Linked DNA regions of Neurospora crassa OR74A. The protein of the gene in region 1 interacts with the protein of each later gene in a biochemical or structural test. Links are inferred from orthologs where the notes say so. Each region holds a gene or a part of one and is shown in the gene's direction. Other genes may lie near its edges.

Region 1 (4,160 bases):
TGCAGGTGACTGCTTCTTTGGCGTGACAACTCCTCTAGGTTGCGGGTATGTTCTATCTCTTATCTCACGCTTTGACACATGAGGCGGTCATTCCTCCCACATGCATGATCACTAACAGTAATCATATTTAGACCCCTTCGTAACACGAAGTAGGTGTAATGAAGGAGCTGCGACTACGAGTTTGAGTTTTCTTTCACGGATGGGGAGTTTGATGGCTGGCTGCCGGCCTACAGGCGGAAAATGGGCGATCCTCTCGGGGCGGATGTGGAGGACGTTGATCGGCGACAAGATAGATGGATGATGGGCCTTGTCTAGATGCAGTCATAGGATCTCTGGGGTTTCAAACACCGACTATGGGCATGAAGTCATGATCTATCAGGAGTCAATATTATCTCGACGGAGAACCTCGGCTTGGTCATGCCAATGGACAGAGAGACAGAGAGTACGAAGAAGATACCCATATGTTGGATGCACCCTGGTTGCGGCCGGAGGAGGATAAAACACCACCAATTCTACGGAGAGAGATGGGCGACTGTGCCATTCAAAACCATCTTGTCCTGTCTTGTCCTGTTTGTACTCGAGGAGCAATGCGATGTAAATGGATACCCACTTGGAACATCCTACAACAAAAGCGCTCTGTTCAGCTTCGAATTCAGCCGTTACGACTCTGTACAACATAGTGATCAATGATGATGATCGCACAAAGCCATCATGATATGATGCAAGATAACTTGACGGCTAACAACATCGCTGCGCATAAAAACCGCAAAGGTGTGAGCTTCTGAGTCGGAAAGTCATCTACAACTTCTGGGCATCGCGGAGTTGAGCTGGCAAAGCAGTCAAGACATTTGCAATTTTTATAGCATGGTTGCAAAAATGTGCCGATCGTTCGACCCGCCCTCACATGTGGTGATTCTAAGGCAGGAGATACAGAAGGGCTGTTTGTGGCATCAATCTGCCACTCAACTTCGGAGAAACCTAATGAAAGGCCCCCCAAGACTCCCGCGATACTGTTGGGCTGCAGAGCAGCAGCAGCAACCGCGTCTCTTCGTTGAGTGGTTGATGAGAGAAAAAGGAAAATTTGGGGTGGATGGACGTCGAGTTTTGACCACTTCGAAGCTTCGCCAGTGGCCCGTGCGTCTGCCCGTTTGTCAGGCGGGGGACGAACAACAGAAACCCACAAAAACGAAAGCTTGGGCGGGGCCGATTCAAAAAGCCACACCGGTCCGAGGAACTGCCGGCTCCGCAAGCACCAAACTTTAACTTCATTTCAAAATTGCCGCTGCAACCCTCGTTCTTTTTCCCAAGTTATTACTTCCCAACAGACTGGCAGTTCCGCGAACCACAGAGTCCCTAGTCATGGCGATGGGATCTATCGGCGATACCCTTTGGGATGTCGTCATCTGCGGCACCGGACTGCAGCAGTCTCTGCTTGCACTGTAAGCAAACTTTTCTTTCGCTCTTCTTCATCCGACTTTCATCGTTCTCCTGTCTAACTGACCGACTGACATAGCTGTTCTCCGCCTTGAAGATCCCTCTCGCGATCGGGCAAGAACATTTTGCACATAGACCCCAACGACTACTATGGCGGGGCGGAAGCGGCTTTCAGCCTGCAAGAAGCTGAGTCCTGGGTTGACCGTCTGGCCACCGAGGACAAAGGCCTCTTCAGGTCCGCGTCTATCACCAAGCCGGATGTCGTGGGTCTCTCCTTCCCCAGAGCGTACTCGCTGGCACTGGCACCGCAGTTGATCCACGCCCGCTCGGAGCTGCTATCTCAATTGGTTTCTTCCCGGGCGTACCGGCAGGTGGAATTCCTCGCCGTCGGATCGTTCTACATTTTCAAAGCACCTGTCGGCCCTGAACAGCAACCCAGCCTTGTCCGCATTCCTTCCACCCGCGAAGATGTCTTTTCAACTACTGCTATATCGGCCAAGGCGAAGCGCGGACTGATGAAGTTTCTACGGTTTGTGCTGGACTACGACAGTCCGGAGCAGAGAGATGCCTGGAAGCCTTTTGCCGATAAACCCTTGGTGGACTTCTTACAGGAGCACTTCAAGATGGATACCGAGCTCAAGACCTACATCATCACCCTCACGCTTTCGCTGGATGGCCGCATCACTACCGAGGATGGATTGTTCATCGTCCATCGCCATCTTACCTCTATGGGTCACTTTGGCCCCGGCTTTGCTGCTCTCTATCCCAAATGGGGCGGTATCTCCGAGATTGCCCAGGTCGCCTGTAGAGCCGGTGCGGTCGGTGGTGCTGTCTACATGCTTGGCGCTGGTATCAAGTCAATGGAGACTGCTACTGACGAGATCGAGCTCGAGTTGACCAGCGGCGACAAGGTGAAAACCAAGTTGCTCGTGCGTGGAGACGAAAGCGTTGGTGACGAGCCGAGCATCAGCAGGCTAGTGGCCGTTGTTGATTCTCCGCTCAAGACCTTGTTTGAGTCTACCGTCGACGGGGCGCCGACTCCCTGCGTTGCGGTCGTCGCTCTGCCTCCGGGTTCACTAACAACACCTGGCGAAGCAAACACTGACCCAGTCTATGTTTTCGCTCACTCGAGCGGCACTGGCGAATGTCCCAATGGTCAGAGTAAGTTTTATCTATTTCCTTGCTCCCTTCAATTTACCCATTTCGAGTACTATGATGATCCACATCTTGAATACTTATCTACATTGTCCAAGCTTCGGCGTTGACGATAAATACCTCTGACATTCTGATCGTACTCTCATCCGTTCAACCCTTCCGCATCATTCATAACTTGTTACGCGCAAATGGCTGACTGGAAACCAACAGGTGTCTTATACTTGTCCACAATGGTGACTCCTAACTCCAAGGAGATCTTGAGTCGCTCTCTTGAATCCTTGCTTTCCGCTGTGGACCCTGATCGAGTCCCCCAGTGCTTGTATCAGTTATACTATGAACAGGCTGCTGGTGTCAAGCAAAGTCGACTTGATGGGTTGATTCTTGATCTGCCAGGCCCATCTCTTTCCCTCTTGATGGACGATGCATCGCTGAATCATGTCCGTGAGGCGTGGAAGAAGGTCGTTGGCGGCGCAGTTGATGATGCAGAGTACATGGTCTTCACTGATCGTGAACCCGTGGATGATGATGATTATGAATGATTCTTGGTGACGACCATGGTAAGGGCTGGTCTCTTTACTGTCTTATGCACCGCCCTCCGCACACTCCGTAACATACTTGAAAAAGATTAATCTCAATTTACTTCTATTATTCGATTGCCAATCCATCTCACTGCTATCTGGTAGCTGATTTGTTGTGAATTCCTCAGTCGCCAAATCTTCTGTCAAAGTGAGCCCCAGCGTGTTGCAAAGTTGCCGTTTGCCTGAAGTCCGTTGTCCCCTTCCTATACTTCTCCGAAGATCAGCTCCCTATGTCCTCCGCAGAAACTGTGATCCTATCTTCCGCATGCGCCAGATGGCTTTTGTCAGAGGCATGATTGCTTAGCAAACCAATCAAAATGGTATCTCATCTGGCCCTTTACTCAATCATGATCCCACAGTGTAGGGGAGCACAGCATCCCGTTTCCCATTTACCCACCCGACAACCCGAACCGAGAAATAATAATAAAGAAAAGAACCGCAAGACTCGCACCGATTGCACCGATAAGTGTGCATTCTTTGCAAAACTCTCCGCATCAGCCACTTCACTCGTCACCATCCTCCTCCATCAGAGCCAGCATCTCAGCCTCCGACACCTCAACGCCCACGCGAATTTCGCCAAACGGCTGGAAGCCCTCCATGTCCTGCTCCACCTTGATTGCGTCTTTGGTCGCGAGGACCAAGACGTTGTAGAAAGCCTGAGTCGCCACCTGTCGGGTTCTGTCTCTAGGTTCATCCAACAGCTCGTCAAAGGCAACCCACTGTCTGAGAAGTCTGTCGTTTCCGTCTCCGTGGGCATGGGAAGAAGAGGGTGGAGCACCGCCGCCGCCGAGGGACCGCGTCTCCCCTCTGGCTTTGGCTACCATATTGACGTAAGCCAGGAAGTTGTGGCCGTCGCGATCTAGAGCGTCGCGCATTACTTGGGAGGTTTCGGCCGCAGCCTGGGTAGCAGTCATTTCAGCTTCGCCGGAAGGAGTACAGCGCAAGAGGTCACGGCCACCCTGAGGACCGCCAGGCAAATGCGGAAGCTGCGGT
Region 2 (3,546 bases), about 4.5 Mb from region 1:
ATGTCTTCCGCGACAAGCGCTGTCTCCAATCCGACAGGACGGGTTCAACGTTGCTTCCAGCGCTTCACTGCAACTTTTCTTTTTTTTCACCAAACTTTGAGGTCTTTTGTTGAATCATATGACGGCATCATGTTGAATATGTGAATCAAGGGCAAACAATCGCGTCGAAACATGCCCTACAGCTACCTATCAAAAGTCTGGAACTCTACCGGAGACTTGGGCCTTGCTTTCCGGTGGTTTCAGCCACCACCTCCCGTTCCTGGACTAAAGAGTCTCGATTCACAAGTGACATAGATGCATCACGGCAAGATTCGACCTGGGCAGTCCACGTTGCAAAGTCCAAAACACCAAGCCAAGACCCGTCACCGAAGGCGTCTCGATCATGATTGCACGAGACCGTGATCTGCTGCAAGGACTACATAGTGTAAAGCTGCACTGCACTTACCCTGGCCAGATCTCGTAACATTGGACCGCATTCTTTTTTCCGATTTGACGGCCGTGGAAGAGGCTGGATGGCCGGACGTTGTTGCGCACTTGCGCCAGTCATCGACGTTGACGGTCGCAACGTTCGCTTCGAGATACGGTCTCAAATCGGCTGTGACACCGGTGTGCCCTACTCTACCCCCCCATGTAAACGAGAGGATACCGATTCGAAGCGCCGGTCAGATTCGTCATCTTGAAGCGCAAATTGGCCCAAGCAGGCATTCCAAACTGCCATCGTATGTCAACCAGCTGTTTTCGAGAAACAAGATCGTCACGCCTCATCAGGCTGTGGACAATGTCCCAAGTGGGTGGTGAGGGATGTCTTCCAGTTCAATTTGGATGGAGAGACAAATGCCTTCACCCCCCTGTACGATGACTGTTCGTATCCTCATCTTCAGCGCCGGTGCACTGTACACTTACTCGGTACGACTGCTGCCCAACCTATCAGCCCTTCATTTAAAAATAATCACGACATTCATGAGATGAAGCTCATTTACCTCATTTGCACTCGCGAGAGATCCCAAAAATCAAATGACTCTCGCAAATACGCGTGTCCCGCCTTTGGGGCATCTGCCAAGGTCACAAGAGATGATGAATTTGTCGGAGCTCTGATGATAATTGTCATTGCGCCTTTCCTCCTCCAGATTGAGCAAGTTGGAGAGGGCATTTCTTGGCATGGCGTCTGAATGGTGCAGTGTGGCTGCCAAGTACCGATTACGTAAGTAAGACCTCAGCGTCCATCTATGGTGGGGTAGTACCGGCGGGCAATGGAGGCTGAAGGGAATCGTTCAATCGTAACTCCGACTTCCGACTTCCGTTCCCACAATGCTGGTTCCTTGAATGCAGCCTAATCCCATCCAAGCTTCCACCCACCGCACCACACATAAAACCCTCAAATTCTCCAACATGACACAAAGCTTCACCTCTCTCCCGCAAGAGCTGCAGCTCGCAACCTCTGCCCACGTCAAGTACATCCAGAGTCTCGACTCCCGAAAGGACGAATATGACTACTGGTTGACGGAGCATCTGCGTCTCAATGGCCTCTACTGGGGCTTGACCGCTCTGCACCTCCTCGGCCACCCCGAGGCTCTCCCGCGCGCTGAGACCATCGACTTTGTGCTATCATGCCAGCACGAGAACGGCGGCTTCGGAGCGGCACCCGGCCATGATGCCCACATGCTGTCCACCGTCAGTGCCGTGCAGATCCTCGCCATGGTCGACGCCTTTGATGACCTCGAGACGCGTGGCCGGGGCAAGGCACAGGTCGGAAAGTGTGCGTTGCTTGTCATCAAACCTAGGTAAACCCCCATTGACACTTTGTACTGACACTGTCGGGTCCAGATATTGCCAGCCTCCAGAACCGCCAGACCGGCACGTTTGCGGGTGATGAGTGGGGTGAGGAAGACACTCGCTTCCTTTACGGCGCCTTCAATGCCCTTTCTCTTCTTGGCCTCCTTCACCTTGTCGATGTTGACAAGGCCGTTGACCACATTGCTGCGTGCGCCAACTTTGACGGCGGCTACGGTGTCAGCCCTGGTGCCGAGTCCCACTCTGGTCAGATCTTCACGTGCGTCGCTGCCCTCACCATTGCTGGCCGCAAGGAGCTCATTGACGTTGATCGCCTGGGCCGCTGGTTGAGTGAGAGGCAGATCGCTGGCGGCGGCTTGAACGGTCGTCCGGAAAAGAAGGAGGACGTGTGCTATAGCTGGTGGGTGCTGAGCAGTCTGGAAATGATTGGCAAGACGCACTGGATCGACAAGGCGAAGCTCACCAGCTTCATCCTGAGCTCGCAAGACACGGACAAGGGTGGCATCTCGGACAGGCCTGGCGACATGGTGGATGTCTGGCACACCTGCTTTGGTATTGCGGGTCTGAGTTTGCTGGACTATCCGGGCTTGGAGCCGGTTGACGAGGTGTATTGCATGCCCAAGTCGACCATCAAGCGTGTCCTGGGTCGTTAAGTGTGGTGTGATGTTGTCGGAATACAGTACGATGGCTCCTTCTATCAATCTCATCATCGTGACATGACACAGGATATCAACACAACTTACCTCCTGCCATCTAATAACCTTCCGACACGCACTCCAGGCGTCGGCAGGATACAAGGCGGGAGAAGAGAAACATCGTTCTCGTTTGGGCAAAAGACGTTATTGCATCCCTTCAGTGGGAATGTGAGGCGTTTGGAGCCCAGATGAGTAACTCCCTACTGGTTTATTGTTGCTTGAGAGTACCCAACATCAATCGACATGGTTAGGTAGGGGACATTCCATAGTGTTCCTATAATACAATTTTCTGTCACTTGAACCACTCGCACATTCTGTCTTTGTGTTGTCACTGTCTAATTGTCTACCTTTGCTCCTTGATGTTCTTGTTGGCACTCTTTGGTGTGTTCAATTCTTCTGACATTTGCAACCCAAGGCATAAAGCCATGATCCCTTCATCGTTTCCTTCGTCTTTCAAACTGAATTGTTCCTTGAGCTTTGTTTGAATGTAATGACCTGTTACTGCATCTACCCGTCTCGCAGCTTGGTCGCCTACCATTGGACAATTAGTTGCTGACTTGATGGTATCATTGAGAACAGTTTGAAGAAGTTGCCCGTTTGTTACGTTACCGTTGATTGAGATGCAGGGACATGAAATAGTCTCACCAACGACACTTGCCTTTGACATCAACAGTGAGTTCTATGAGCTGATAGCAAGTTTTCTCAGGCAACCTGGACACCTCTCGGGGCCGAAGATTAATCAACTTTTCCTGCGACTTCCTCCAGAAATCGTGATTTATTACGTTACAGTACCGCACTGCACACTCACCTTCCAGACTCACCCCTCCAAATCCGTGATGGTTGGGTCTTCTTCGTTCCTTCCCTCTCAGGCGAGCTCACCCACTTTCCTCGCCCACCGACTGACACTCAGGCACCAAGGTGCCCACAAATCTCATTGTACCTTCCTCAAACTGTCCTCAGATTCGTGATCAACCGTTCTTTCCATTGTGTGTGTGCCCCCTGACGAGGGAGGGTTCTTCTTGTGCCCTCGGCTGGCTGAGTGGGCGGGAGTGGCTGTTGC

What was found.
Region 2: the proteins of NCU03191 (region 1) and NCU07509 form a complex in vitro, tested with the Saccharomyces cerevisiae proteins (2 studies listed by BioGRID, with this or other methods). The link is inferred for Neurospora crassa OR74A from reciprocal best matches to the Saccharomyces cerevisiae genes MRS6 and BET2.

What each region holds. Positions count from the first base shown.
Region 1 is NC_026501.1:4,857,992-4,862,151, reverse strand, and holds NCU03191 (rab protein geranylgeranyltransferase component A), read left to right. Parts: upstream 1-1,359; coding exon 1,360-1,439; intron 1,440-1,531; coding exon 1,532-2,595; intron 2,596-2,799; coding exon 2,800-3,128; 3' UTR 3,129-3,146; intron 3,147-3,295; 3' UTR 3,296-3,565; downstream 3,566-4,160. Other genes in the region: NCU03192 (hypothetical protein), read left to right, coding at 1-45, 132-153; NCU03190 (Rec8), read right to left, coding at 3,671-4,160. UniProt on the Saccharomyces cerevisiae protein: Substrate-binding subunit (component A) of the Rab geranylgeranyltransferase (GGTase) complex. Binds unprenylated Rab proteins and presents the substrate peptide to the catalytic component B.
Region 2 is NC_026501.1:355,099-358,644, forward strand, and holds NCU07509 (geranylgeranyltransferase beta subunit), read left to right. Parts: upstream 1-1,304; 5' UTR 1,305-1,323; coding exon 1,324-1,756; intron 1,757-1,824; coding exon 1,825-2,444; 3' UTR 2,445-2,793; downstream 2,794-3,546. UniProt on the Saccharomyces cerevisiae protein: Catalyzes the transfer of a geranyl-geranyl moiety from geranyl-geranyl pyrophosphate to proteins having the C-terminal -XCC or -XCXC, where both cysteines may become modified. Acts on YPT1 and SEC4.